Linked DNA regions of Neurospora crassa OR74A. The protein of the gene in region 1 interacts with the protein of each later gene in a pairwise test. Links are inferred from orthologs where the notes say so. Each region holds a gene or a part of one and is shown in the gene's direction. Other genes may lie near its edges. The genes, in order: NCU03947, NCU08030, NCU00225 and NCU03118.

What was found.
Region 2: the proteins of NCU03947 (region 1) and NCU08030 interact in binary tests that used the Saccharomyces cerevisiae proteins (3 or more experiments, as listed by UniProt). The link is inferred for Neurospora crassa OR74A from reciprocal best matches to the Saccharomyces cerevisiae genes RSP5 and RPB8.
Region 3: the proteins of NCU03947 (region 1) and NCU00225 interact in binary tests that used the Saccharomyces cerevisiae proteins (3 or more experiments, as listed by UniProt). The link is inferred for Neurospora crassa OR74A from reciprocal best matches to the Saccharomyces cerevisiae genes RSP5 and STM1.
Region 4: the proteins of NCU03947 (region 1) and NCU03118 interact in binary tests that used the Saccharomyces cerevisiae proteins (3 or more experiments, as listed by UniProt). The link is inferred for Neurospora crassa OR74A from reciprocal best matches to the Saccharomyces cerevisiae genes RSP5 and LYS1.

What each region holds. Positions count from the first base shown.
Region 1 is NC_026506.1:2,205,644-2,210,204, forward strand, and holds the start of NCU03947 (ubiquitin ligase), read left to right. Parts: upstream 1-1,430; 5' UTR 1,431-2,265; coding exon 2,266-2,297; intron 2,298-2,413; coding exon 2,414-2,436; intron 2,437-2,500; coding exon 2,501-2,539; intron 2,540-2,621; coding exon 2,622-2,727; intron 2,728-2,787; coding exon 2,788-2,921; intron 2,922-2,997; coding exon 2,998-4,561. UniProt on the Saccharomyces cerevisiae protein: E3 ubiquitin-protein ligase which accepts ubiquitin from an E2 ubiquitin-conjugating enzyme in the form of a thioester and then directly transfers the ubiquitin to targeted substrates.
Region 2 is NC_026504.1:3,966,040-3,969,699, reverse strand, and holds NCU08030 (UDP-glucose 4-epimerase Gal10), read left to right. Parts: upstream 1-1,488; 5' UTR 1,489-1,649; coding exon 1,650-1,996; exon of another isoform or gene 1,997-2,086; coding exon 2,087-2,198; 3' UTR 2,199-2,499; downstream 2,500-3,660. Other genes in the region: NCU08031 (paxneb protein superfamily), read right to left, coding at 11-1,180; NCU08029 (thiamine pyrophosphokinase), read right to left, coding at 2,500-3,469, 3,623-3,660. UniProt on the Saccharomyces cerevisiae protein: DNA-dependent RNA polymerases catalyze the transcription. of DNA into RNA using the four ribonucleoside triphosphates as substrates.
Region 3 is NC_026503.1:3,074,927-3,079,433, forward strand, and holds NCU00225 (hypothetical protein), read left to right. Parts: upstream 1-1,642; 5' UTR 1,643-1,800; coding exon 1,801-1,818; intron 1,819-2,127; coding exon 2,128-2,146; intron 2,147-2,279; coding exon 2,280-2,438; intron 2,439-2,500; coding exon 2,501-2,666; intron 2,667-2,727; coding exon 2,728-3,322; 3' UTR 3,323-4,102; downstream 4,103-4,507. UniProt on the Saccharomyces cerevisiae protein: Ribosome preservation factor that protect a small pool of nontranslating, vacant ribosomes in cells under nutrient starvation conditions.
Region 4 is NC_026501.1:4,623,882-4,628,229, reverse strand, and holds NCU03118 (hypothetical protein), read left to right. Parts: upstream 1-1,734; 5' UTR 1,735-1,919; coding exon 1,920-2,208; intron 2,209-2,276; coding exon 2,277-2,690; intron 2,691-2,761; coding exon 2,762-2,827; intron 2,828-3,015; coding exon 3,016-3,365; 3' UTR 3,366-3,789; downstream 3,790-4,348. UniProt on the Saccharomyces cerevisiae protein: Catalyzes the NAD(+)-dependent cleavage of saccharopine to L-lysine and 2-oxoglutarate, the final step in the alpha-aminoadipate (AAA) pathway for lysine biosynthesis.

The sequences.
Region 1 (4,561 bases):
CCATGTCAACATTTTCCACCGAAATTGAACGACTCCAATATACAAAGGGCATGCAAATGACAACTCAACAGACACCTGCGCAAGACATCTTTGCTCCGACAAGACCGAAGGCGGTTGTGGTGAAATTCAAAGAGGCTGGTTTTTGAGGTATAGTAGAGTGAGTACTTACCTAGGTAGAAGAGCTATACGCGGATTGCGCATTACCTCTACCACTTTTTAGAAGTGTCGAACAAAGGGCGCTCCACATTTGCTGTCTCGCTTCGTTCAATGATGACAGCCACTAGTGTAGTGTACAAACCTAGTGTACATATGATGGGTACCTCTATGCTTCCATGAACTCCCCATCGTCAAAAGCACCTCAACAAAAAAAGAAACCTCAATTGAAAATCCAGAGATGCAGTAACGCCCCGCAGTTCCGTCGCACGCGAGGGGTATCAAAATGGAAATGACGGGCGTTTATGTCGGTGATGCGCTATTGTTGGAACAGCAGCGTCTCGGTCGGCGGCAACGGGGGTACACTACATGTACTGGGATACGCTAAGTAGCGACCTAACGCCTTTTTGCACCCCGTGCGGTGTATCGTCGTTATGGGATGTAGAGGTGCTGTGCGTTGAATTGTCAAGGTTGAGGTTTGAAGTGTTCACTTTCCTAATTGACTGCCTCTGGAGGTTTCTTCAAAGTTCGGTAGTGGCTTGATATCTGGTAGATCTGCGCAAGATCATCATCATCCCCGATCGTTGGGCTACCTCTTGTGTAGAGTTTTTGGAACAGACAGCTTCTACTACAATCTTGGCGTTTCCTGGAGAGACCTCGGAGCTTGGGGCGGTCGGTGGAGGTGCTTTCCTACCCCTAGTCATGGAAAGGCATTCAGGCCAGCATAGCTACCTATTCTAATTCTCTGTGTCGATGACTGAGCCGTGATCCATGGGATATTTTCCTGACAGGGCATCAACTCCTAAGAAAAGACACGGGACTATGTGATCCATGTACACCAAGGTTGCTCTTTGTGTGCCAATGATGTTGTTGATGTTGATCTCGAGATCTGGATGCCGTGCCAAGCATGGAGTGAATGTGGCCCCCTGGGAGTCTGGGACTCGAATGACCCGACCAACTGCTTAAGAGAAGAAGTCAAGTACCGCACTGTGCGCACCTTCCGCTTCAGTTCTCGCTCTTTGCAGGCTTCTGCTAACTAGTTCCTGGCCTAAAAGTAGTCACTCGTTAATGCGATACCTGAGCTACTAACTGAAAAGTTAAGCTTCTCGCACAGAGCATGCTAGGCCAGCCATACTTTCCCGTTAATGCTGTTGAACCATTATGTCTTGTCACCTCCCCCTGTCTCTTCACCAATGCTAGATCCAACTTGGACTGTCAATTTCTTGGCTTGGGTCGTTGCACCATTGCACCTTTGCAACATCGCAAGACGTCCAGGTTTCTCGGTCGTTTTCCCTCCCATCCTTTGGCTCATCCGTCGGTTGCAACTTAGTGAAGGTCATTGAGCTCTTCACCTGGACCTTCTTGGGGTTGGTCCGTCGAACCCAAGCTCACCCACCCGCCACTTCCAGCAGCTTCACCGCGACAAAACAACGACAGCATTCAACCTCGACACTACTAACTAAAGGTACCCTTACCAGACGAACCTAGACATCCGAGCGAGTTTACACTACCTGCTGGTTGATCCACAGAAGTGGTTTCCTAAGTATCAGACCTGCCTTGCCGACCTTGCTAGTACAGAGATTACTTAGTATTACCAAGCCACAGCCGTCCAACCTTGGCCTCTTGGATTGCTTGGCCTTTCCTTGCAGTTCGCCTTCCGCCGCCGTGACTACCTGACAGCGTAAGATACCCAAAGCGGGGGGGCCGGCTGGCCACACACGCACGAGTTACCAAGAGCAGCACAGCCTCACCACCTACGGGCGCTCAAGAGTCCCTCTAGCTTCCATCTACCACCTACTGCCACCTACAGAATTTCATCCACCCTGCCGCATCCATTCCGTTGCCAGTGACTGCGCGTTCTCGTCAACGTCAGTGTCCATCGCAAGGAGAGTTGGCCCTTTTGTAACAATCATTCAGCCTGCTTGTACCATCGTCGACTTGTCCTCCTTTCATCCCCGCCCCGCCTGCATTCAGCCGCGAGTCCTCGATCCCAAACGAGCGAGAGCGACCGACTACCCGACCCGATTGCGACCAGCCTCTGCTTGGTCCAAGAAACGAGACGAAAACTTAAAGCCCCGCGTGCGAGTTTGTTGACGCGCTCCATCTGCAACAATGACCAGCAGCCGGGACTCGGGGCTGCCGGCGTAAGTTCTCCCACGACTGGACTCTCCATCTACCCATCTTGTCTGCTTTGCGTCGCCCTCAGGGACCGCGGATTATAAGCGAGAGAACAGCCAGCTAACAACCACCACGATTAAAGCCAGCCCAATCTCCGCGTAACAAGTACTCAGCCCCTTTGCGACGAATGTGTCCGATGACCAACCGGTGTACTAACATGCCCCTCTAGTCATCGCCGCCGATGGTCTATACAAGCGAGATGTCTTCAGTATGTTTCTCCCCGTGGCCAGGTGTCATGCATCTTCTAAGCCACTTCCAGGTGGCATATGCTAACCGCATCATCATCATAGGGTTTCCCGACCCGTTCGCCGTCGCTACCATTAACGGTGAGCAGACAAAGACCACCCAGGTCTCCAAGCGTACCCTAAACCCATACTGGAACGAACACTTTGATTTGTAGGTTCGACCTTAACTCAGATTTGACAGCCCAAGGGCCAGCTGGCTAATACAACGTAGCAAAGTGAATGAGGACAGCATTCTGGCTGTCCAGGTGTTCGACCAAAAGAAGTTCAAAAAGAAGGACCAAGGTTTCCTCGGTGTCATCAATGTCCGGATAGGGGACGTAATAGAATTGGCTCCCGATGCGGAAGGTAAGGTTTCACTGCAATTCACATGTGTTTGCAGGTTGACAGCGCGATTTGGGACTGACATGCACCACACCCACAGATCAGATGCTCACGCGGGACCTTAAGAAATCGACCGACAACCTTGTGGTGCACGGCAAACTGATCATAAACCTATCTACTAACCTCACAGCAACTATGAGTCGCCTCGGTCCCCCTCCATCTTCGAGCAGACCATCACTACTCACCCCTCAAAGTTCGGTTATTTCTAACGACAGAGCGAACGAACGTCCTTCATCAGCCATGTCCGGACCTAATGGAACCGCCAATAACATGACTTTGGCAAGCCGACCCGCCAGCCTGGCTGTTTCGTCGTCGTCGACAGCCCCGACCCCCGGGACAAATGGAACAGCCCCAACGAACCCGTCGACCCTCGTTCCGGCGCAAGCCAGGCACCATAGCACGCTTAGCCCCTTCGAAGATTCAATGGGAAGATTGCCAGCTGGCTGGGAACGTCGCGAGGATCATTTGGGGAGGACATATTATGTTGATCATAATTCACGGACCACGAGCTGGAATCGGCCAACTGGCACAGGGGCGGCCGAAAACCGTACCGCCGAAGCCAATACTCAAGTCGAGCGTCAACGGCATCAGAACAGAACACTTCCCGAGGACCGCACTGGCGCCAATTCCCCCACCCTACAGCAGCAGCAAGCTGCCGCCACCGCCAATGCTGCCACTATGATGCATACCGGGGCGACAACCCCCGGAACCGGTGAATTACCTGCTGGTTGGGAGCAGAGGTTTACCCCAGAAGGAAGGCCGTACTTTGTCGACCACAACACGCGCACTACTACCTGGGTCGACCCTCGACGCCAGCAGTACATTCGCATGTACGGTGGCCAGAACAACACGAACGGGACCATTCAACAACAGCCGGTGTCCCAGCTCGGTCCCCTGCCTAGTGGTTGGGAGATGCGGCTCACCAACACGGCTCGCGTCTACTTCGTGGATCACAATACCAAGACAACGACCTGGGATGATCCTCGTCTGCCTTCGTCGCTCGACCAGAACGTACCGCAGTACAAGAGAGACTTCAGGAGGAAGCTCATCTATTTCCGTTCGCAGCCTGCTATGCGGATCATGTCCGGACAGTGTCACATCAAGGTCAGGAGATCGCACATTTTCGAGGATTCGTTTGCGGAGATTTCGAGGCAATCGGCGACGGACCTGAAGAAACGATTGATGATCAAGTTCGACGGCGAGGACGGCCTCGATTACGGCGGTCTGTCGCGCGAGTTCTTCTTCCTCCTTTCTCACGAAATGTTCAATCCATTCTACTGCTTGTTCGAGTATTCGGCCCACGATAACTACACCCTCCAGATCAACCCCCACTCGGGTATCAACCCTGAGCATCTCAACTATTTCAAGTTCATTGGCCGGGTCGTGGGTCTGGCTATTTTCCACAGGCGATTCCTGGATGCCTTCTTCATTGGCGCTCTGTACAAGATGGTTCTCGGAAAGGCTGTCAGCTTGGCGGATATGGAGGGTGTGGATGCCGATTTCCATCGGTCTCTGCAGTGGATGCTGGATAACGACATCACCGACGTTCTTGACGCAACCTTCTCTACTGAAGACGAGCGGTTCGGCGTAATCACGGAGGAGGA
Region 2 (3,660 bases), on another chromosome or scaffold:
GAAGATGACTTTAGAAATCAAGCCCATCCTTCTTTGGAGCAGCTGAGGGCTTCTCCTGCTCATCCTCGAGCATAGGCGGGAGACTGTACGGTTTGATCACCAAGCCCTTGGATGCGCTCAAGCTGAATGACAGGTTCTCACGGAATTGGCCCGACTCTGCTCCTCCACCACCCTTCTCATGATACACAGGCAGTGTGTATACTTTGAACATACCCTGGGGTTGCTCGTTTGCCTTGGGATCCGACCTTGAGGGCGGCGGTGGCGCGGCACCTAGCCTGGCAGGCAAGGGGATGAGCTCGACGACGCCGTCACAAAGAATTTCTATCCACCGGACCAGGCCTGAACTGCGAGGGAATAAGGACGTCGGGAAGGTAATGATTGCTGTGAGCTGGGTGCTGTACAGTCGAAGGAGAGCCCGGAGCCCATGTAGAAACTGTAGAACCTCTGATGGTTGGGCGCATCCAGGAGGATAGAGGGTTGGTGAGAGGAGACTGGGCACCACCAGTCTATGAATGGCGTTTGATCCTGAGCTCTCCAACTTGGCCCGCAATTGCTTGAGAAGCATCTTCAGAGGAGAAGCTGTCCCAACACTTTTCCGGTCTAAGCTCGGGGAACCGCCAACTGAAATCGGGTTCAGAGTACCCTTGGACTCGGAGCTGGCAAGCCTCTTGCTGAGATCAAAGGAGTGACAGAAAGGCGCTCCAGAATCCCCACGAGCAGAAGCTCCTGCATTGGCGTTGTTACCCAAGGACTCATATCTCCACGCAATCTTCATCTTCTCTTCGGGTGCCGGCGCCGGTGATGCACTCTTTGACTTCTTGTCAGGTGAAGCCAGCCCTGGAAGCTGATGCCTCCATTCTGGCGGAAAGGCTACTGCGTGAACCTGATGCCCTTGGACGAGACCCTCGGCAGCATAGTACCGTAGAAGAATTCCAGAGAAGTCGGTGGTCCCTTGCTCCTCAACCAGTAAGCATGTTCCTAAGGGGAGTCCACCGTGTCCTGCAAGAAGTTGGTCCAGGGAAGCAGTGCCAGTTGAAGTGGTCAACCTGCCATCAGTTGGTGATGGTCGAAGACCCGGCGCAAGCTGCGTTTCCTGTTTGGGTTGCTGCTGCTGGGGAGCGGACGGCGTGAGTCCGGCTCTCGGTGAGGATAGGACGGTGTTTCTTTTGACGAAGGACATAGTTCAGTCGGCAAGTTGCAGTCCTTATTTGAGTATCGAATCCAAACTTGATGATGTTGAGGTATGTATTCTTCAAGTCCAAATATAGTCGATTCGATCCCTGGAAGAAATTCCATGGAAGCTTGGACGTCACTGGAGTGCCTGAGAGCCCCGCTGTACTTTTGTCACACACTGGACGGGCGTGACAGGGATTTTCAATGGTGGTTGCCCCACTACTTGCCCCGGCATCCTGGTCCAATTGCCGCAAGGCTGGAATTTTTTGGGACGGCAACTGCATGGCGGCATCTCCATCGCTCAGTCGCATCTCCAAAAGTTTCCCCAAACACCATCATTACTACCGCTCGCGACAATTCGTTTTACCCACCTATCGACACGCGTTTGATACTCGACCAAAATCTGACACTAGTATCCTTCCGAGCAATCAATATCCAACATCGACTGTTTCATCGATTCCACACCAGCATTCACAATGTCCGCCCTCACGTCCGACGCCCAACTCTTCGAGGACGAGTTCAAGGTCGAGAGAATCAGCGATCCCAAGTACGACCGCGTCGACCGTCTGTACTGCACCTCCGTCGATGGCCAGACCAGCATGCAGCTCGATGTCAACAAGGAGCTCTTCCCTGTCAAGGTCGGCGAGTACCTTAGAATTGCATTGGCTACTTCCTTGTCCCTCGACGGTAGCAAGGACGACGAGAGGGGTTGGCGCGATGCTGCCAAGCTCGGTAGCGTTGAGCAGACCCTGGCCGACAGCTATGAGTATGTCTGCCATGGCAAGGTCTACAAGTTTGAGGATGGAAAGGATGGCCAGACCATGTAAGTTGTTGCCTGGGAATTGGGCAGGAGTATCTCGACCTTGGAATTCGGGGAAAATGAGTGGCTGACTGGTTCGGTTGCGAAATTTAGCAAGGCGTATATGTCCTACGGTGGTCTTCTGATGGCCCTCGATGGTCCCTACAAGAAGCTCACGCCCCTGCGTGTCGACTACGTCTACCTCCTCGCCAACAGGAACGCTTGAGAGCTGAAATTTCCGGAGAATAAAAAATTGAAAAAAAGCAAATGTTTCCAGCGGCTAAATAGCATCAGACCGATCAAGAGTCTAGGGCGCGAGCAACATTCATTGGATCTTTGGAGGGCGAACGGGCGTTTAAGGTTATGCGTGGACCAGAAAAGGCATATCCTAGGGAAAAGGGGTCTGGGGAAAGTAATGAATCAACGATACCCGGAAAGCAAGTACCTGTATTTATGCCGCTACCGAGCCAAGGGCTGTCCATCTGCCTTTGGAAGAGCTAGTGCCCTGCGGAAGGTGCTCGATGGATTCAGGCCTGATGAGGACCGGGAAAGGCGATGTGTCGATGAGCCCGGTCACGAAATGCGTCGTAATGCGGCTCGTTTTCAGGCGTGTAAATGCCGTGCCGAACGAAGAAATCGAGCATGACGACGGCACAGTTCGGCTTCCACATTCCCTGGGCGAGCTGTTTCTGGATCTCCTCCACTGTGCACAAGCTGAAGCTCTCGACCTCGCCGTCTTTTGGCTCGGGGACGACACTTCCATCCGCAGGTAGCTCTAGATCATAAATCCATTGGCATTCCGGGTAGATCAACCCCGCCTCGCCTCCCGCGCGCTCGTCCGTGATGTAGATATAAGTGATGGTGCAGACCTCTTTGGCGTTGTTCCTCACGATATGCTCGGACAGTGAAGCCTCTTCGTCCGCCTCACGGATGACGCATTCGAAGGGGTCTTCGTTGGTCATCAAGCCACCCGCTACCGCGTTGTCCAACATGCTCGGATAGGTCGATTTGGTCGCGGACCGCTTGGGAACCCAGATTCTCAAGTCATACTTGCTGCTGGCATCCTGACGTCTGATGAAGGCGTTCATATGCACGCCGTAGCGTGTGGTTCCAAAGAGGCCCATAGCTGCCCGCTCTATGCTGAACACGAGCTCCTTGTTGCGACCATAAACTGGCCACAGCTCGTTTCGCCAGCTCTTGAGGATGGCAAATGCCTCTTGTTCACGCCAAAGCGCAGTGAGCTTTCCGACAAGCCGAGTGCGTTCCTCGTAGGTTTTGTCCGGGGCATCACGGAAGAGCACTACAGTCCTATTAGAGACATCGATGTGCAACCCTAACTGTCCTTTGAGAGTTGCCGGGGCTTTGTTGAGTGCATCGACAACGTCCAGCTTCACGTAGCCTATGGGTACCTGACCCTGCTGGTCTTCCCAGACGAACGTGTAGAAAGACTTCATGATCTGGGCATAAGCCTCGGGATCCCGGTCCGCGTAAGGGAAGCTTGATTTTTAGAGATAATGTAAGCGCTCGTTCTGGTCATGTTCGGAATCCAGGTAGGCCTTAGATCCGTTCACTGAAGTTCCATCTAAGTTCCTGGGCGTGAACACAGAGGATTCGGTTTCACAGAAAAAAAATAAACAAATAAATACGTACGCATCGACTTTAGCCACCAAGTCGAGGGTGGACAACCG
Region 3 (4,507 bases), on another chromosome or scaffold:
CCGTCAACGACTCATGTGGCTGCCCCGGTGTTTCAGAGTGTTGTGGACTTTGCATAGCCTCAGAGCTAAATATCAGCTCAAATGAAGCAAATCTGTCATGCCAAACAATGGCGACCAGGCTAGATAATGCTTCTCATCCAGTACATGCCCAACTTTCTCTGGCAACGCCGTGGAGACATTCTTAGTTGTCAAGAAACACAGAGACACACTGTTTGATACAACGCCTGTAAGTTGACTTCAAACAATCTGCCATGACTAACACGAAAGACTCGATGTTGGGTGAAAAGCAAGACACGAGAAATGCAGTAGAATCTTGAAAAGGCAGATGAAAAGGAGAGAAAGGAATTGCAGAGCTACACAACAAAGAAGGAAGTCGACTTGCATATTGATCATGATGAAATGGCTCTCCGCGACTTGTTATCCGTACAATAACTGGATTAGTTGATACCGATATCTCAGGTTAACTAACCTACAACAAAGAGACATTTGCTGATGGCTATCTTCCATTCTCGATGCGAGGACAGGACTCTAATGTGGTAAAGGTTATGTATTTTGCAGATGTATGTCCATCTCCGCCTCGAAGGGCCACGAGGAAGTAAACAAGTGTGTTAAAAAGGGGAGCTTCAATTCATGAATTCAACATCCATTGGCAACTGCTTCGACTGGCGAACGGTACTCGTCCTAATATAGTTGCTGTTTGAGCTTCGTCGCCACAGCGTCCACTCTCTGCCATGACTGTCAGATGCAAACCAACGGGTGAGTCCATCCAGAACCACACTTGTGGAAACGCATGCAGAGCCGCTGTGATTTGAGGGTGATGCGGTTCAACAGACACGTAGAACCTATACAACTTCCAACACTGTTCTACATCATGGCATATGGCAGACTTTCCAGAGAAGTCTTGAATGAAAGGAAGTAAGATAGAAGTAGGGGTTGGAAAAAAAAAACAGAAAGAAAAAGAAAAAAAAAGGTGAAAGGTCCACGCTGCATATCAAACTGCTCAAGTGGTCCGTGATGACCTCTCCAATGTGGCCGTGATCAAGCACCTGTTGGCAAGCCGTCAAGCACAGCAACCAAGGTAATACTTCCCCAAGAAAGACATGACGTCCGGTGTCTAAAAGCACGACGGCAATGCGTGCCTTTTTGGCATGAAGTCCGTTGACAGGAAGTCCGGGGTGCTTGAGGCAGGTCCGATCTCATAGAAGGCTGTCACCTCAGCAGGAATGCGTCAACTTGGCATATAAAGCGGCAGCTTCCGTCAGGTGTTTGTGACGGATGTGTTTCCAGTGGTTTGTTTACCTTGGTGACGATGATGTCTATGGTCGTGAGTGGTTGTCGTCGCAGCTGCAAACACTCTGCCAAGACTTGCCGGATTGGGAGCAGAGCTCAAACAGGCAAAGTTACGGCGTGTACGGATCGATACGCACGTCACATTGGTAACAAAGGGCAGGCAGCGTGCAAAGTGGTAGCCCTAACCACCAATAACAGCGGCGCACTGAAATTTCACCAAAAAGCCAAAACGGCAGTCAAAGTTGGAAGCGGGGAACAGCGGCAAAGAGGGCCAGAGCAGGGCCTTGGAGGGGAGATTTGGTGCAGGTGGGCGGGGCACGAGCGTCTCTGTGATCCGTGCCACTGCCAAAACCTGGTCCGAGCTCCCTGTGGCCCGGGAGCGATTTGCCAAAATCTTTTACGACACCACAGCGAGCATCAGACGTCGTTGTCGCTGTCGTCCGCCCCCCCTACCCAACCCCGTCTAGAAGAAGCGCATTGAGTCAGGCCAACGTCCTGTCAAGCGCAAAGATGTCGGTCGCTTCCAAGGTGTGTTTATCTCTCTCCCCGTCAATCTCCGAAATGGCCGGTTTCACGGTCGGCCGAGAGCTGCATGCTGTGCAGCGGATATGGATGACCCCGTGGTTGGACCTCGCCGTGAAATGAAACTGAGAGCTTCATTTTTGTTTCCGAGCGAGTCCGCCAACACCGGCTCCTTGCGACAATTTGGGATCCGAAAGAGGAGGGAGGCTTGGAGAATGGGGATCCAGACGCACAGCGAGCAGCAGCCGGCCATACCGCGAAAATCTAGAGCTCAAGACAGCAAGAAACTAACCGATTGCGATTCTTTTTCTACAGAACCTGTTCGATCTGCTCGGTTGGTTGCCCACCCTCCTGTGAATTACGGAACCCACGCGACGGCACACTCGAAATTGGCAGGGCGAGGAGGAACATTGAACACCGCAATCCAAGGAACCACCAATACTGACGGATCGATTGTTTTCATTCAGGCAACGACGTGGAGGATAACACCGCTCCCGCCGCCCCTGCTAAGATCGTCGAGAAGACCTCGACCCACACCACCAAGCGCAACTCCGATGGCGTCGCTCCCAGCAAGGCCCCCGCTCAGGGCTCTGGCCGTCGCTCTAACTTGACCGGCAACGAGGCCGGTATGTTGATCATCCAACATGCTAACCATGGCTACCCTCTCAACTGACATTTTCGGTCCCAGCTTTCCGCGACCGCAACGCCGGCAGCGACCGCAACCGTGGCAAGCCCACTGAGGAGGGTGCTGCTCGTGGTCCCCGCGGCGGCGCTAACGCCCGCGTCCGCGGTGGTCGCGGTGGCCGTCACCCCCGTAACACCTCGGATGACCGCCACTCTAAGTCCATCCCCTCGTATGTTCCGGTCAAGCAATTTCTAGCCACAGGCACCTCCGTCCACTAACACCCTGACTAGCGGATCCGAGAAGCAGGCTGCCCTTTCCTGGGGCGCCACCGAGGGCCAGGCCGAGCTGAAGGATGAGCAGGCCGCCGAGGAGATCGCCAAGACTGAGCAGAAGGAGGCCACCACCGAGGGTGAGGCCGCCGCTGAGGCTATCCCCGAGGAGGAGGAGGAGAAGCACGTCTCCTACTCTGAGTACCTTGCCCAGCTCGCCGAGAAGAAGGCCGCTCTCGAGGCCGAGGCCGCCCTCAAGGTCCGCAAGGCCAACGAGGGTGTCGTTGAGGACAAGAAGTGGGCCAACGCCAAGCCCCTCAAGAAGGATGAGACCGAGGAGTTCATTGCTGGCTCCGCCGGCAAGAAGCAGCGCGAGCGTGAGCGCAAGGTCAAGCAGGTCCTCGAGATCGACCAGCGTTTCGTCGAGCCCGAGCGTCCCGCTCGTGGTGGTGCCCGCGGTGGCCGCGGTGGTCCCCGTGGTGACGCCGGCCGTGGCCGTGGCGCTCCCCGTGGTGCTGCCCGTGGTGCTGCCCGTGGCGGTGCTCCCCGCGCCGAGAACAAGGCTGCTCCCATCAACCCCAACGATGAGTCTGCCTTCCCCAGCCTCGGCAACTAAATGCCTCTCAATATCGGCATAACGACCATACATCGAAGCCAGACTATTCAGTCACACGGCCCCCCCTTTATTTTCTCTTCGAGGCGGCAATGTCAGAATCAGGATGGCGGCGGGTTGGGATAAAAAAAGCAGCCAGCATGGGGTCGGTGTTCGTCTGTTTGGTTGCATTCACCTTTAGCGGAAAAGTGGTTCATGAACACCGGAACCGTGAAAGAGGTTTTCCTTATCTGTCCACCACTTACCGCGGAATCGAACAAAGTAAAACTGTTCAAGCTCGAAAGTTGAAATTGCGCGCGTTCGTATGACCTGGTTCCTCCCCGTATCTATCCCCTTTCCTTCCATGCATGAACGTTATACCTAGGATATATTTCACTTTTTACCCGGTTCAAACCGCAGACAAAGGATGGGATGGCAACCATCCAGAGGGCAAAAAGACACACACGCTATAGTCTAGGTGGCACTATGACATAGCTCGACCATGGCAAGGTCGTAAGAATGGACATAAGACAGGCTTGTTTTGGATTAACACCCAATATGGCATCTGGCAAAAGGCATCAGGCAGAGCAGCAATATCAAAACAAGTGTTTTGGATTCCTCTGGCAAAGGCACAACAAGCTGACACTGATCCGTGACTTGTACTCAACACTGTGTTGGCTGTTTAAGTGCACTTTTCGATGTCTCACTGGACAAGTGAAGTTCTTGCTGCACCGTGATCTTGAACTGACTGGTCGCCATAGGCACATAATAAGATGGAAAATCACTGACGATGATATTGACACACAAGTACTTGTAGTAGACCTTTTCATTTCCATTTCAAACTCCGAACTCGGCGGTTCTTACTAACCACCCCTTCACTATGACCTAGGTCCAGGTAAACAGACCACTCTTTTGTGTCCCTTTCTTGTCTTGTGCAAAACACCCTCTCCATCACAACCCCATGATTACTTATCCATATCACAGCCGCCATACCATACAAGACATGACCTGATGTACATTTCACTTCCATGACAACACTAGCGATATCTACCTTCAATCTTACAACCTTTCTCTCTCTCCATCCTCTCCAAGTTACATTCTCAACCTCGAGGTTCCCTCCCTCATCCTCATATGCTTCGAAGATGTGACACTGCCGGAGAACTCCAGTCATCCTGGCTTTCATATCTCAGACAAGCCAGAATCTGTGGA
Region 4 (4,348 bases), on another chromosome or scaffold:
AAGTTCGGGAAATCTGTCGAGTTCCGGATTGGGATATCATCATCAACGGGATGTCAGTCGGGCCAGAGTCCAGGATCGGTAAGTGGGTGTAGTCGGGGTTCGTGGTCAGTTAAAGTGTGAGTGCGAGTGTGTGAATGGTGCGCGGTAGTGACTCGGGTGATGAGGTGTGAAGTTGTGTTACTGTCCGTTTGATGATGTCCAGAGGTCTTGAGGTCGCAGAGTGCTTAGGTATCCCTTTTTTCCCTTTTTTTTTTCCTTTTATTTTTTTTTCCGGTGGTTTTGCTCCTGTGTCTTTTCCAGCCAGTCCACGGTGCGGTAGAATCCTACAGTGTTCGACTGTGCGAAGAGTGCGTCAGTGTGTACAGAGCTGAAAGTAGGTAATGGGGATAGGATAAAGGTAGGTAGACGGTAGTATATGGAAGAAGTACATGAGAGAAAATTCCAACGCCGCAGATGATGCGTAGGATGGCCGATCTACATGGGAGGTAGGTAGTCTTGGGGGGGCACGTTACGGATAGCACCGCGAGTCGGCGACCCCTAACAAAGCGAGCCCCAAAAAAAGAACAATTTCATGATGGCTTCTTCTTCAACAAAAGGGCACGCGGATCCCTGAACTGACGGGCAACCATGACGGAATGTAGCTTAGTTCGGACTTTGCTCCGACTGCCGAGGGGATTCGCCATCCATGAGTGGTTGCTGTTGGTGGTGTTGCATCTCCACGGCTATCTCCTGGTGAAAACTGGCGGCGATCCTGTTGTGCAACCGCTTTTCCATACTAAGGAATCCAGTGGTCGGTCCAGTCCGTTCCACAGTCTACATAGTGAGCTGAGGTGGCGGGTGTGGAACGGGGGTCGTCGGGCCCGGGGAGGGGGAGGGGCAGCAGTTGTTGTTGGCAGGCTATGGCGGCTCGGACGGGTGGGCAAATACCCGGGGGAGACCGGAGATACAACTAAGGGAAGGACCAATGTGGAAAGTCAAAAAGGGAACCCTTACACTATAAATTCTTATAGGGTTTGCCAAGCAAGCCCGACCTACCTCTACCTACTCCCCGTTGGACTCGCTGGCCCGCACATGAGACATCCATGGACGAGTCGGCTGGCTGCCAGCAGAATCCATCTTGGGGTCCAGCGAGGGTGAGCCAGCCTTTCCAGGTCCTCGGAATCTCGGAAATCTCTTTTGGATTGTCCAGACTTCTCGTCCAAACTCCGGTCCAGAGTGCTGATGCAAACAGGCAAGCCGAGAAAGGGGTTGGTCGGCCGGGGGCTGCTCCGACGAAACTGCGAAAACAAGTCATGACTGCAAGGTGCTAAGATACTGCAGTGGGCAGCTTCGCTATATTCACACTGACAGTTGCCCAGACACCACCATCTCATGAGGTCCATCGGGCCAGGTGCCGTCCTACAGGGGCACCCATTGGTCAGCACTTCCTGGCATCTTCAAGTCCCGACCAATTTACATCCGCTCCGCCATCCACTCCATGATAAAGGGCCATTAACACATCATAACATGTCAATATAAAAGCCGATGACGGGAGTCGCGATATATGTTTAGACAGCGAGTGGGATTCTGCTTCACAGTTTGAGAACATGTGGTAGTAAGCATGAACATGATTACCTCTAGGGATTATTCGACGTAGGTATATCCTGTACCAAGGTACCTACCTCTCAAATGGAAATGCACGCTCACAAAAATAATATGGGGCCAATCCTCCAAGGGGCACTGGGGCTTCCCGTCCCTCCCCATTCTGCCAGCCTGGCGGGCCCTGTTTTCCCGCAGTGGCAGTGACTCAATCAACCCTGGCAGCCCATCCCGCAGGCCATGCCCGATCTCGCCCTGGCCCGTATAAAACAAATCTCTCCATTATCCATCTTCAACTTCCTCATTCCTTGTTTTCCATAATTCAACGTCCCCTTCACAAAATGGCCCCTACCGTTCTCCACCTCCGCAGCGAGACCAAGCATCTCGAGCACCGGTCTGCGCTCACCCCCACCACCACCGCCGAGCTCATCAAGGCTGGCTACATCGTCAACGTCGAGCGCTCCCCCGAGCGAATTTTCGACGATGAGGAGTTCGAGAAGGCTGGCGCCACTCTGGTGCCTGAGCACAGCTGGGTCGATGCTCCCAAGGAGCACATCATTGTTGGCCTGAAGGAGTTGGAGGAGAAGGATTTCCCTCTCAAGCACGTTCATGTTCAGTTCGCTCACTGCTGTAAGTTTTGCCACGTCCGGCACTTTTTTGGTGGCCAGGAGAATCATCGCTGACTCGAGACAACACAGACAAGCAGCAAGCCGGTTGGGAGAACGTTCTTGCCAGATTCCCCCGCGGTGGCGGCACTCTTCTTGACCTCGAGTTCTTGGTTGATGAGCACGGTCGCCGTGTGGCTGCTTTCGGCTTCCATGCTGGTTTCGCCGGTGCCGCCCTTGCCCTCGAGGTGTGGGCTTGGCAGCTCAACCACAGCGAGCCCTTCCCCGGCGTCGAGAGCTACCCCAACGAGGATGCTCTGATTGCCGACGTCAAGAAGGCTGTCAAGGAGGGTGTTGAGGCGGCCGGCCGTCTTCCCCGCGTGATCGTCATTGGTGCCCGTGGCCGTTGCGGCTCCGGTGCCGTCAGCGCTCTCAAGAAGGCCGGTATCCCCGATGAGAACATTCTCGACTGGGATATGGCCGAGACTGCGAAGGGCGGTCCTTTCAGTATGTTTTTGGAACCAGCACACCCCTAGGACTCACCAGATCTGGAACAAAAGTACTGACTACCATCACAGAGGAGATCACCGACAGCGACATTTTTGTCAACTGCATCTACCTCACCAGCAAGATTCCCAACTTTGGTATGTGTATTCCCCTTCCTTTCCCCCCCCTTTTTTTTCGGGGACAGCTTAAGTCACTACAAAGCCGAAAAATCGGTCTCACTCCCAGCCTGGCCCACATCCACATATTCCAGCCTCCAGCAACAAACAGCCTTCCCCTCACCAAAAAAAAACAAGAACCGGGAGCACCCTCACTAACAAAGTACCAGTGAACATGGAGTCCCTCCAGGTCCCCGACCGCCAGCTCCGCGTAGTCTGCGACGTCTCCGCCGACACCACCTCTCCCTTCACCCCGGTGCCCATCTACACGGTGGCCACGACCTTCGACAAGCCTACGGTTCCTGTCGACGGGCTGACCTCGGGTCCTCCTCTCTCCGTCATCTCCATCGACCACCTCCCCTCGCTTCTGCCGCGCGAGGCTTCCGAGGCCTTCAGCCATGATTTGCTTCCCTCGTTGCTTACGCTTAATGACTGGCAGAACTCGCCTGTCTGGGCGCGGGCGAAGCAGTTGTTTGATGAGAAGGTTGCTACTTTGCCGGAGAGTGCCCTCCAGAAGTAAAAGGCCTCTCTTGAAAAAGAAAAATGAGCACGGGCGGAGGAAAAGTACGGACTTGATCGCTTTTTGTGGGGGAAAATAAAAGGACGTATGCAGGGACCGATATTTTCAAAATAAAATGAAGCATAGAGAAAAAGGAGAACGGATGTGAAAGAAAAAGACACTGTACATGACAGAGACTAGAAGGAATAGCTCATGAAGATATGAACGGACGAACTAAATCGATAGATGTCGGCAGACGGCTTCATTCCTTAGAAAAAGGTAGAAGTAGAAAAGGGCAGTGTCGAGAGTAGACTTGGTCATTTCACTCAACTAGGGAGACTGTTCACGCAAGTATGAATATCACACACTTGGACATTGGGAATTTCCAAGCACTATTACTTTACGATGATAGTCTTCAAGAATACCTATGTCGGTTTTGTTGAACAATGCTTTTGAACATTTCGATAATCATACATTTTCCGGCCGGAAAATACCGCAAAATCATGATATTTATCTTCACAATTGTCGGGGCTCGAATTCTCTTCTGACTTCATAGAGTGGTACGGAGAACAGCGCGAACCATGCACATTCCACAATCATCACGCCACTGGCAAAAGTATCGAATATCATGGTTGTACACTATTGCAAAAGATGAATGTCAACAACTGACGATCGCATCCATGATCAAGTAGCCCCAGATGCAGATCACATACGGGGATGCGTCGATACACGAACCCGCAAAAAAACACACACACAAACACAAACGAGCACATGAATAATTCAGGAGACAAGCGAAAATTGTGTGTGATCCATCAACAAGTTCCTTTTAAATTCCGGGCAACGTCGCCTATCGACGTGCTCAAGCCTTCTCTTTTGCAGGCTGAATCTATCTGCGTTCTATATCGCACAACATCTTGATTCCGTGTGATCCCTCAAAAAGTTCCCATTCAACAATCCCATGATATCGCCACCGAACTCCATTGCAACCCGCATAACCCTTTTTG